Rattus norvegicus: one gene and its partner. The protein of the gene in region 1 interacts with the protein of each later gene in a biochemical or structural test. Links are inferred from orthologs where the notes say so. Each region holds a gene or a part of one and is shown on either strand. Other genes may lie near its edges.

The links. The genes of interacting proteins can lie anywhere in the genome.
Region 2: of the proteins of Limk2 (region 1) and Rock1, one has a biochemical effect on the other in vitro, tested with the Homo sapiens proteins (2 studies listed by BioGRID). The link is inferred for Rattus norvegicus from reciprocal best matches to the Homo sapiens genes LIMK2 and ROCK1.

Annotation. Positions count from the first base shown.
Region 1 is NC_086032.1:82,446,948-82,451,290, forward strand, and holds part of Limk2 (LIM domain kinase 2), read right to left. Parts: intron 4,185-4,343; coding exon 4,098-4,184; intron 2,577-4,097; coding exon 2,445-2,576; intron 2,254-2,444; coding exon 2,197-2,253; intron 900-2,196; coding exon 834-899; intron 1-833. UniProt on the Homo sapiens protein: Serine/threonine-protein kinase that plays an essential role in the regulation of actin filament dynamics. Acts downstream of several Rho family GTPase signal transduction pathways.
Region 2 is NC_086036.1:1,506,123-1,511,006, forward strand, and holds the start of Rock1 (rho-associated protein kinase 1), read right to left. Parts: upstream 3,026-4,884; 5' UTR 2,165-3,025; coding exon 2,072-2,164; intron 1-2,071. UniProt on the Homo sapiens protein: Protein kinase which is a key regulator of the actin cytoskeleton and cell polarity.

The DNA.
Region 1 (4,343 bases):
TAGGGTGTGGGCTTCTCTAACTTGTCCCTGGGGTGTGGGCATAGGCAAGGGAGACCACCTTCAAGGGGAGTGAAGTTACAAAGCAGGGGAGAGTCACCCCAGAAAGCTCTACTGAGAAGCGGTGGCTGGGCCTCTGAGTTTTTTGTCAGTCTGATATCTGTCCACAGCAGACCCCAACTAACAGGGGAGGAGCCTCAGGGAAGTGACCTGCAGAGCGCAGCTCAGGTGGGTAAGGATTTCTTGTCTCTCTTCAGCCCTTTGTCTTGTTCTTAACAAGGACTTGTGGCCAGAATAGGTTAAGAGAAAAGGCAGTAAAGGACAGGGGAGAGCTAGGGAGGCAGTAGCAGGAAGGGGGGTTGCAGTGGCAGGAGACAACACTGGAACAACTGTATCTGAGGGCTGTGTGAGGAACGCTGGCCTCGTGCTGGCTGTGTGGATCAAAGACCCTGCAGCCCGTCGTCCATGTTGTAAAGTGGGATCAGCAGACTGTCTGAGGGCCTGCTACAGGGCAAGAGCTCCACAGACAAGGAATTCAGCCCCCATCCACACCTAGACTCCTGCCCCACCAAATCAGTGTAGGGGATTGAGCCCAGGGCCTTCTGCCTGCCAGACAGGGAAGCTAATCCCTTCTAATAATAATCACTTCAAGGGCTGCTCCTGGGGAGGGAGGTGAAATCGTTCCTGTATGTGTGTGTCTGAGAGCCTCCATAAGATGGGGGTGGCAAAAGGCACTTGAGGTAGCCGAGCGCCCAAAATAGAAGCCCATAGGTGGTGTCTGGTCTGAAGCCAGAGGGATAGCCCCATGCAGCTCAGGCCAGCCCAGCGGGACGTACCAATTTGATGAGACAGTTGTGCGAGTTCAGATCTCGGTGGATGATGCACATGGAGTGTAAATAAGCCTGCAACAGAAGCCAGAGCCATGGAGCCTGTTCCCAGGCCACGCCCACCCATGGAGTCTATTCCCAGGCCACGCCCACCCATGGAGCCTGTTCCCAGGCCACGCCCACCCAGCTTCCCCTCCCCCAACACCCAGCTACTCCAGTCTTCTAGGCCAAGCCTGTTTAGCTTCCCATCCCTACCCCTAAGCCACAGCTTGTATCCTAACTCCAACGGATAACTGCCAACTCCTGCCCAGGTTTTCCCAACAGTCTCCAGCCCTGCTGGCCCCTGAGTCCCTCATCCTTTACTTAGATTGAGGCAATCTAAAGTGAGCGCCCTCAAACACACTGTTCCTCCCTCCTCCTCCAGGGTCTGGCTTCTGCTACTTTGGATCTTCCTGCCTGGTGGGGAAGAAATGACCTCCTGACTCACCTCCCCTGAGACGCCCTCCTCCTCTGTCTGTACTTCAGCCCCTCCCTCTTCCTGTCCAGCCATTTCTAAACTATTTTTACTAGACATTCCCGTGTCACTCTTAGGAGCTACTTTCTTAGGCTTTCCTTTCCCTGTAGCTGTGGAGGGTGACACTGCCCCCTTTCCTACCCTGTACTACTGCTTCACTGTTCCTAAGCCCACAGAGCTTTTCCTATGGCTGAAACACATGGCCTGGCTGTCTACCCACCCCTCCTCAAAGGCTGTCTATATCTCCCATGTACCCCTTTTTTCCTGAGACCCCTGTGTGCTACCATTTCCCTTCCTGCCTGCACTGCTCTTGTCTGCCCTGTTCTCTTTAGAGCTGGGTGACCACCCGAGAACTGACAAGCCCAGGACCCAGCCCTTTCCTTTTCTACCTCACTTCTTCCCTGTAAACCACGGTTACTGGAGGAAGGAGAGGTGGGGTGCAGCCCCTCCCTCCCCGCTGTGTGGAATAGTCACTTCATTAGCACCCGTCAGCTGTGAGGACAGCTAGACTCATTCCCACAATGCGCTCAATAGGACCTGAATGTACTGGCTTCTCCTGAGTTCATCTAGAATTCGTGTTCTCCCCCTTCTCCTCATTTTGTGGGCAGTAAGGTCCCACAGACCTGAGCTACAGTTTGCCTTGTTCATGCCATTTGGTGTTAAGGGGATTTGGAATCCTTTGAGAATAGAATTGTACTCTGAAAGAGAGTTTTGAGCCAACAGTTCCTTGGCATTGAAAGAAACTCAGTAGGCAGCTGCTGAGTGTCCCAGCCCCGGGATGGGCATCTGCCTTCCCCAGCAGCCTGCGATCCCTGCACCTCACTGTACACATGCGTGAGGTTGTTGGGTAGGACTCACCATTCCGGAAGCGATGCCTTTGGCAAACCTGACCTTCTGTTGCCAGGGAAACGGGTCCTGCAGGGTAGGAGAATGTCTGTGAGGAGCCCTTACAGCTTTTGGTAGGTTCTAGTGGCCGGCATGTGTGCTGTGGAAGCCCTCCAGTCCCTCCCAGTACACACCATTGAGGGCAAACAAGGTCCCTCTAACCCTTGAGGTTCCTGAGCACCCAACAAGCTCTCCCTCCACGACTGTGGTCACGTGCTCACCACATTGCGCAGAAAGTCCTTCAGGGTGCCCCCCTCAATGTACTCTGTCAGCAGATTCAGCTTCTTGTCCTTGTACAGGACCCCGATGAACTTAAGCACGTTAGGGTGGTCCAGGCTTCGCATCACTTTCACCTGGGTGGGGGGGGACAAAATGAGGACAGCCCCCACTTCATGGGTTTGGCACACTGGGCCCTAACTTTCTAGAACGGGTTCTAGGGAGCCAGGTGGGAGTGCAGAGCAGGAAGCACCTCATTGCCACTGCAGCTGCCTCAGTGATCCAGAGGCAGTGCAAATGAGATGTTCATGGGACGGCGCGTCTGCCCCTGGAGCCCCACTTCAGGGTGTCTGTGGCGACCATAACAGCATAAATTAAACTGCTATGGTCATACCATCACCTCTGTAACCCGAATCCCGCCTTAGCCTGGCCTGCAGTGTCTGCAGTGAGTGTGCACTTAACAGGTGCACTGTAATTTCGGGGTCTTTCCCTTGGTTGTTTTCTCTCTTTTTCTCCTCCATCCCCTCTGCTTTCCTTCCTCTCTTATTCTTAAGGACAAGGTCTTTCTAATATCCTTGGCTGGCCTGGAGCTCACCATGTAGCCAAGGCTGGCCTTGAACTCAGAGATCCACCTGCCTCTGAGGGTGCTGAGATTAAAGGTGTGTGTTACCACACCAGAATCTCTCCCTGGGTTTAAGATAATGGCTGAGGGCTGGGGGGATGGCTCAAAGTGTCAGAGCACTGGCTGCTCTTCAGAGGACCTGGGTCTACTCACGGCCACCCACATGACTGCTCGCAACTACCTATAACTCTAGTCCCAGGGCCTCCTCTGGTATGCAGATGTACATGCAGACCAAACACCCATACACATAAAAAGTCAATAATAACAACAACAATGAAACTTAAAAGACTGAGACCAAATAAACAGGGATTTCTTAATAATAAAATGGTGGCTGATGCGAGATTTCTTGTTTTCTTCACCTTTTCTCCGCCCCCACCCCACTGCCCCCAATTATTGTTCTTTCTCTCTCCCTCCTGTCTTTTGGTTGAACACAGTGCCTGGTGCAGGCTGTGCAGGCTCTGTATTACTGGGTTATTCCCTAGCTCAACCCTTATTTATTTATCCATAATTTATTTTATGAGTATGAGTGTTCGGCTCCATGTACGTATGTGCCCCGTGTGTGCCCGTGTGAGCCCCGTGTGTGCCTGTGTGAGCCCGTGTGAGCCCCGTGTGTGCCTGGTGCTGGCACAGGTCAGTGTGGGCGTCAGAGCTGGAGCTGTGGATGGTTGTGAGCCACTGTGGGTGCTGAGGACAGAACCCAGGTCCTCTGCATGAGCGTACATGCTCTTACCTGCTGAGCCATTCCTCCAGCTCCCCAGGTTTACTTTGTTTTAAGCCTCATTACACTGCCTAGCCTAGCCTTGAACTTCCAGTCCTTGAACAGGCGTGACCGGACTGGGCCACGAGGTCTGCTAGCAAGTTTTCTTTTGGAAAAAAACAAAAACAAAAACAAAAACAAAACCCTATTTTACTTTCTTTTCTGAACGGGGTCTCACTGTGTTGCCACATCTGCCTGGGTTCACTCTGGGGTCACATGATCCTCTTGTTTCAGCCCCTCCAGTATAGGGCTGACGGAAAGTCCAACCCCATGTCTTACCTCAGTCAGGAAAGTCTTCTGGGTTTCCTCATCACAGCGAATTAACTCCTTCATGACCATCACTTTGCCTGTGGCTTTGTGAGTCACCTACAGGAAGGGCAAGTGTTAACACTGTAGACACCAGAGATAATTCTGGCGTTCTGTTTGTTACAATCTGTGGGCTAAGGGAGTAGCTCAATGGTAGGGAACTCGGCTGGCATGCTCAAGGTCCTGGGCTTGACCTCCAGCACCAGGGGGAAGAAAATA
Region 2 (4,884 bases), on another chromosome or scaffold:
GCAAATTTAAAATATATCAGTAGGTCTATTCTCAAGCAATTCCCAAACTTGATTATTTTCACCATTTTTAATATATAGAACTCAGGCTCAATATTTTTGGAGTCACTGGACTAGTACCCCTGGGTTCTTTCAACTCAATCATGTTCCATCAATTCTTCCTTCTTCATTGTCATGTCCTAGCTCAGGGCTCCAATTGAGTGAGGACTGTTATGTTAATCTGAAAATTCTCCAATCTCACTTATTCCCAGTCTTTTTCCATACAAACTTATCTTACATAGAACTACTGGATTAATCTTCATTCACTCTGTGATAGCTAATTACACTTAATTAATTCTCCAAATCTAACTCTATCCTCCCAACTTTATCTTGTTTTTCTAAATATGTCACGGTCATTCATGGATGCCCATCCACCCTCTATCTGTTATCCTCAATTCAGTAGCCAATTCATCATAAAGCACACTCTGGCACTCTCAACTCACAGCAATTTTTTCCCCTTCAGTTTCCATTATATAGACAGATGATTGATTGAAAAATACTGAATAATCATTTAGAATTAATCAGTTGTTTTCTCAATCTGTAAACTGCTTACTTTGTTTCTGCACATGTATATAAAAATGTTTTCCTATGCAGATTCAACTCTTTCTAAAGAGCCCATGTACTGTGCATTTATTTCCTTTGTACTCTCCTCGGGTTCCTACTGATGATACTGTAACGAGAGAAAACTAGCAATAAAAAAGAAAGCTCCGAAGCCCTTCCTATAATCTCCTTCCTAACCTGAGGAGCAGAAAAGTAAAATAGGATGAGCAGATCGATGGTGGAGTGCATGCCTCACATGTGCTGGGTTCAACTGTCAGGACCACTAATAACAATAATAAACCTAAGAACAACTTATAGAATTACATCAGACATGGACATTAGCAATGTATAGTTAAGTATGTTTAGAGGAATTCTGAAAGCTTTAATGAGAAACCTTACACATTAAAAGTATAGAATAGTTGAATATACTTTAGAATAACTGAAATACACACTAATTTTAATCTACAAAATTTCCTGATTCAGTATAAAATTTTACAATGTTCTCTCTCTGAATGGCATTATTCTTAAATCTCCAAACTATTGAGTATACAACGCTAATTCTCTAAAATCTCCATGTCCAGATAGACACTGAAACATGATTTGAGATCTTGTGATTGTTTAAAAACTAAAAATATTAGTATACAATTTTCAGTTAGTAGTAAACGGAGAAATTACGTTGATAACTGTATTGGCAGTACTCAAATGCCTATTGTTTACAAATAATTCTTTTTGCTATCAACAACTGGGTAATTTTTATGGTAGGATTTTGGCTTTTTGTGACCTAAAAACTTTAGAATGTTTTTAAAGTGGCAATAATTAGTTTACTACCATACACACACACACACACACACACCACCACCACCACCACCACCACCACCACCACCAGCACCACCACCAACAACAAAAAACGATTCTTAATATATGTGAAATATATTTACTAACAGTGTTTTAAAAGCCACCAAACTTGTGTTGGCCTAAGATTAGTTGTCGTAGGTGTTTGCATTTAACGTTCAACAGTTTCTTTAGCCTCAAGACACCTAAAATTTTTATCTTAAAAATCACTTCCTCAATATCAATTTTCCATTATCATGTCCAAGTATAAATTCCCTAATTCTATAAATAGAAAGTACATTTTTCAATAATACTGTCCAACTAATCGGCGAGGTTAATGCTAAGACCGTCTTTTAACAAACTACACAATATAAACTTTGACGTGTTAACCTTCTGATACAAAGGCTGCGATCTTACTTTCTAGGTATGCTCGGTGGACTGACGAGCTGAATCAAAACCAGAATTTCAGAGTAGGTAGCAGAGAATCACTGAAATTGCTAAAAAAGGGGAGGGGGTGAACAACAGATTTACTGGCGCTCTAAAATTCTTGCAAAAGAGAAATCTGGCATCTTCCCAAGATGACTATGCACACCTGAGACTCGTTGCAGTTAACTAGACTGCAAACAGCAACCCAAGGCAACCCAGAGAAAACAGCAGCACTCACCAGCAAACAATCTGAATTCACTTCCGATTTGGGATCCCGCAGCAGGTTGTCGATTTTTTCAAACCGAGTCTCAAAACTGTCCCCAGTCGACATGATGCTGCTACTTGTGACGATACCTTCGTACCCGCAGCGGAAAGCAAGTTCAACCAACTTCCTCCGCGGTGGGTTTGTAGCCGCGGGGCAGAGGAGCCGGAACCTCGGGGTCACCAGGTGCGCCCGGTTCCCCCTCCTTCCCCTCACTGAGGGGACCTCTGCTCTCTAGACCCCAGGCTGGGGGTGACAGCGACCCGCAGCCGCTCGGACACCCAAAGTCGCATCCCACCCGGCAGCCCCTCGCGACAGCCGACAGCGCCGTCGCCAGCAGCCCGGTCGCTCCGGCGAGGCACCTCAGCCTAGCGGGCCCCGGCTGCCTTCGCCATGGCGGGGCCCAGTCCAGAGAAGGGCAGCGGCGGGAAGAGGGAGCGCAGCAGGGTGGAGACTCCCTCGGGGCAGCCAGGGAGGGCGAAGAGGAAAGGCGAAAGCGAAGGGCGGGTGAGGAGCTGCGCCAGCTGCCGCCTGGGCCCCGGGCCGGCCCCGCTCCGCTCTAAGGCGCTAGCGGCTGTCTAGCCCTGCATCCCGGGTTCCACTCGGCCCGGTAAGACGCACTGATTTATCCTCGGCCAAGAGCTGGTTTCCACAGAACAGGCTCACTCTCCCATTTTATCCGGTCGCTGCTGGGGTTACGGTGTCCGGCCGGGCAGGGTGAGGTCGGTGGCCCGAGGGAGTCTCAGAGGAAGACTAGCTGGAGCGGGCCGATGAGGAAGGCGACCAGAGGGTCCGTGCGGCTGCTGATGCGGGAGCTTCTGGGAGGGGCCGCGGTCCGAGCTGGGAAAAGGGCGAGTCGCGGAGGCGAATGCCTGGGGGGTGGGGCGAGGAGGGCTCAGAGGGACTAATATGTCCGCCTTCCTGTTCAAACAAACGGGGACCGCCGGCGCGCAGTGCGCATGCGCGGCGCGGGCGTTCGGAAGGGGAGCGAGCGGGCCTCGCGCTCGCGCACGCGCACGCAGACGCCCGCCAGGGCGGGGCTGGCCGGGTCGCGACAGGAAGGAGGGGAGAGAGGCGGAGCCGGACACGGGCGGGGCCTGGCAGGCGGAGGGCGAAGAGAAGTCGGAAACCCAGTGGAGGACAGGGAGGAGGGAACGTTTCCCAGCCTCTGGTGGCTGAGCTGGCAGGCGCCCCAGATTTGCTTCCATTGGGCCTCTGGTCGGGAGACTTCTGACAGGAAAAGAAGGCGCTTGTTATCACTGATAGATACTTTTTGCGGGCTAGGAGGGTGCTTTGCTTCTGACGGTACCTGAAAGTTATTCAGCACCAGTGGAGTTTGGATTTTTCCGGAGCATTCTGGTGGGCTCTCCTTGATGCCCACCACGCAGATTCAGTGGGAAAATCACCATGCATTCAGTGTTCCCAAACCCTGTGTGTCAGGGGAGCCTTAAAATGTTGATTCTGGAAGACAGAATCAATAGAAGTCAAATGCAGTTTAATTAAAGGGGGAAAAGTCATAGGAAAATCGATGTTTGTAAGCTATTTCTATTCGTTTCTCACAGCAACTTGTAGTTTTGTCCTGTCTTTAAGATGCACAACTGCAGGGCATTTAGTAAAACTTTAAAAAGAGGGTTTTTTTTTATTACAAATAAAGAAGGATATGAAAATAATGGGCATTTCCTAATTCAGTTTTTCACTTAATGTAGGGAGACAGGCTGAAAAAGGTTTCTGATTATGTTTTTCCCTGCCTTCTGCGGAGTCCAACCTGTATTTGTTTCTAATCAACCCTTGGGTTTCATCATAGGTCAAATGAAAGATTTCTGGTTGACATGTGGATATGTTTCACTGCACACTGAAAAATACTACAGATAAAACAAATGTCCCGATATTGAAATAGCAATGCATAGCATCTGAACAATACATCAGCAAGGGGACCAATTAGGGAAACAATACATTGTTGGAAATTTTTTACTTCTTCATTTTATTAGATACAAGAAATGTTTAGCTATAAAGTCCACTGTGTAAATCAAGTTAGGAAGTAAGTCTTCACAGAAAGTCATGGCCAAAATAAAAAACAGGGACAAACTTCAGGTATTTCATTAAATGCTTTTGCAGTGACTTTTCTTGGCCCAGTATTTTAAGTCAGTCATGTGAATTAGATTTATTTTTAAGCATAGGGCTTAAAATAATCTGGCAGTTTCCCTGAAATAAATTTCCTAAACACTGCTTGTCCTTTATTTTATTACCATTTTTAGGTATTCTTGGGGTTTTTGGGTTTTTTTCCCCCTCAGAGAACTGAATATTATGCTGTTTTCCATTTGGAAACACATGAAAAAGTACAGATAGTTAAGACAACAAGACACCAATAAAGATAAGCAGTTGACAATGTTACGTGCAGTGTATGTGAAGTGTATATATGTACTTTATTTACTTACAAGGCTACTCTGACTATTGTAACATGCCATTACTTATATTCTAACAGTAGATGTTTGTTTTTGACAGGTCAAGTCTCCTAAATAACCCAAACTACAGGTGAATGCCCTGACACCAAGCTAAATTTATTTCTACATTAAAAAGTGTCCAAGTATAACAGAACCATGACATCTTTAAAATTCTATTAGAGACAGGAGAGTTAGAGAAATGACTTAATGGTTAAAGAGTGCTTGCTGTTCTGGGAGAGTACCAGTGTTTGGTTCCTAGCACCCAGGTCAGGCTCAGGACTCCCTCTAGGCCTCTAGGGCACCATACTTATAAGGCATACACTAACACAGACATACACACATACACAT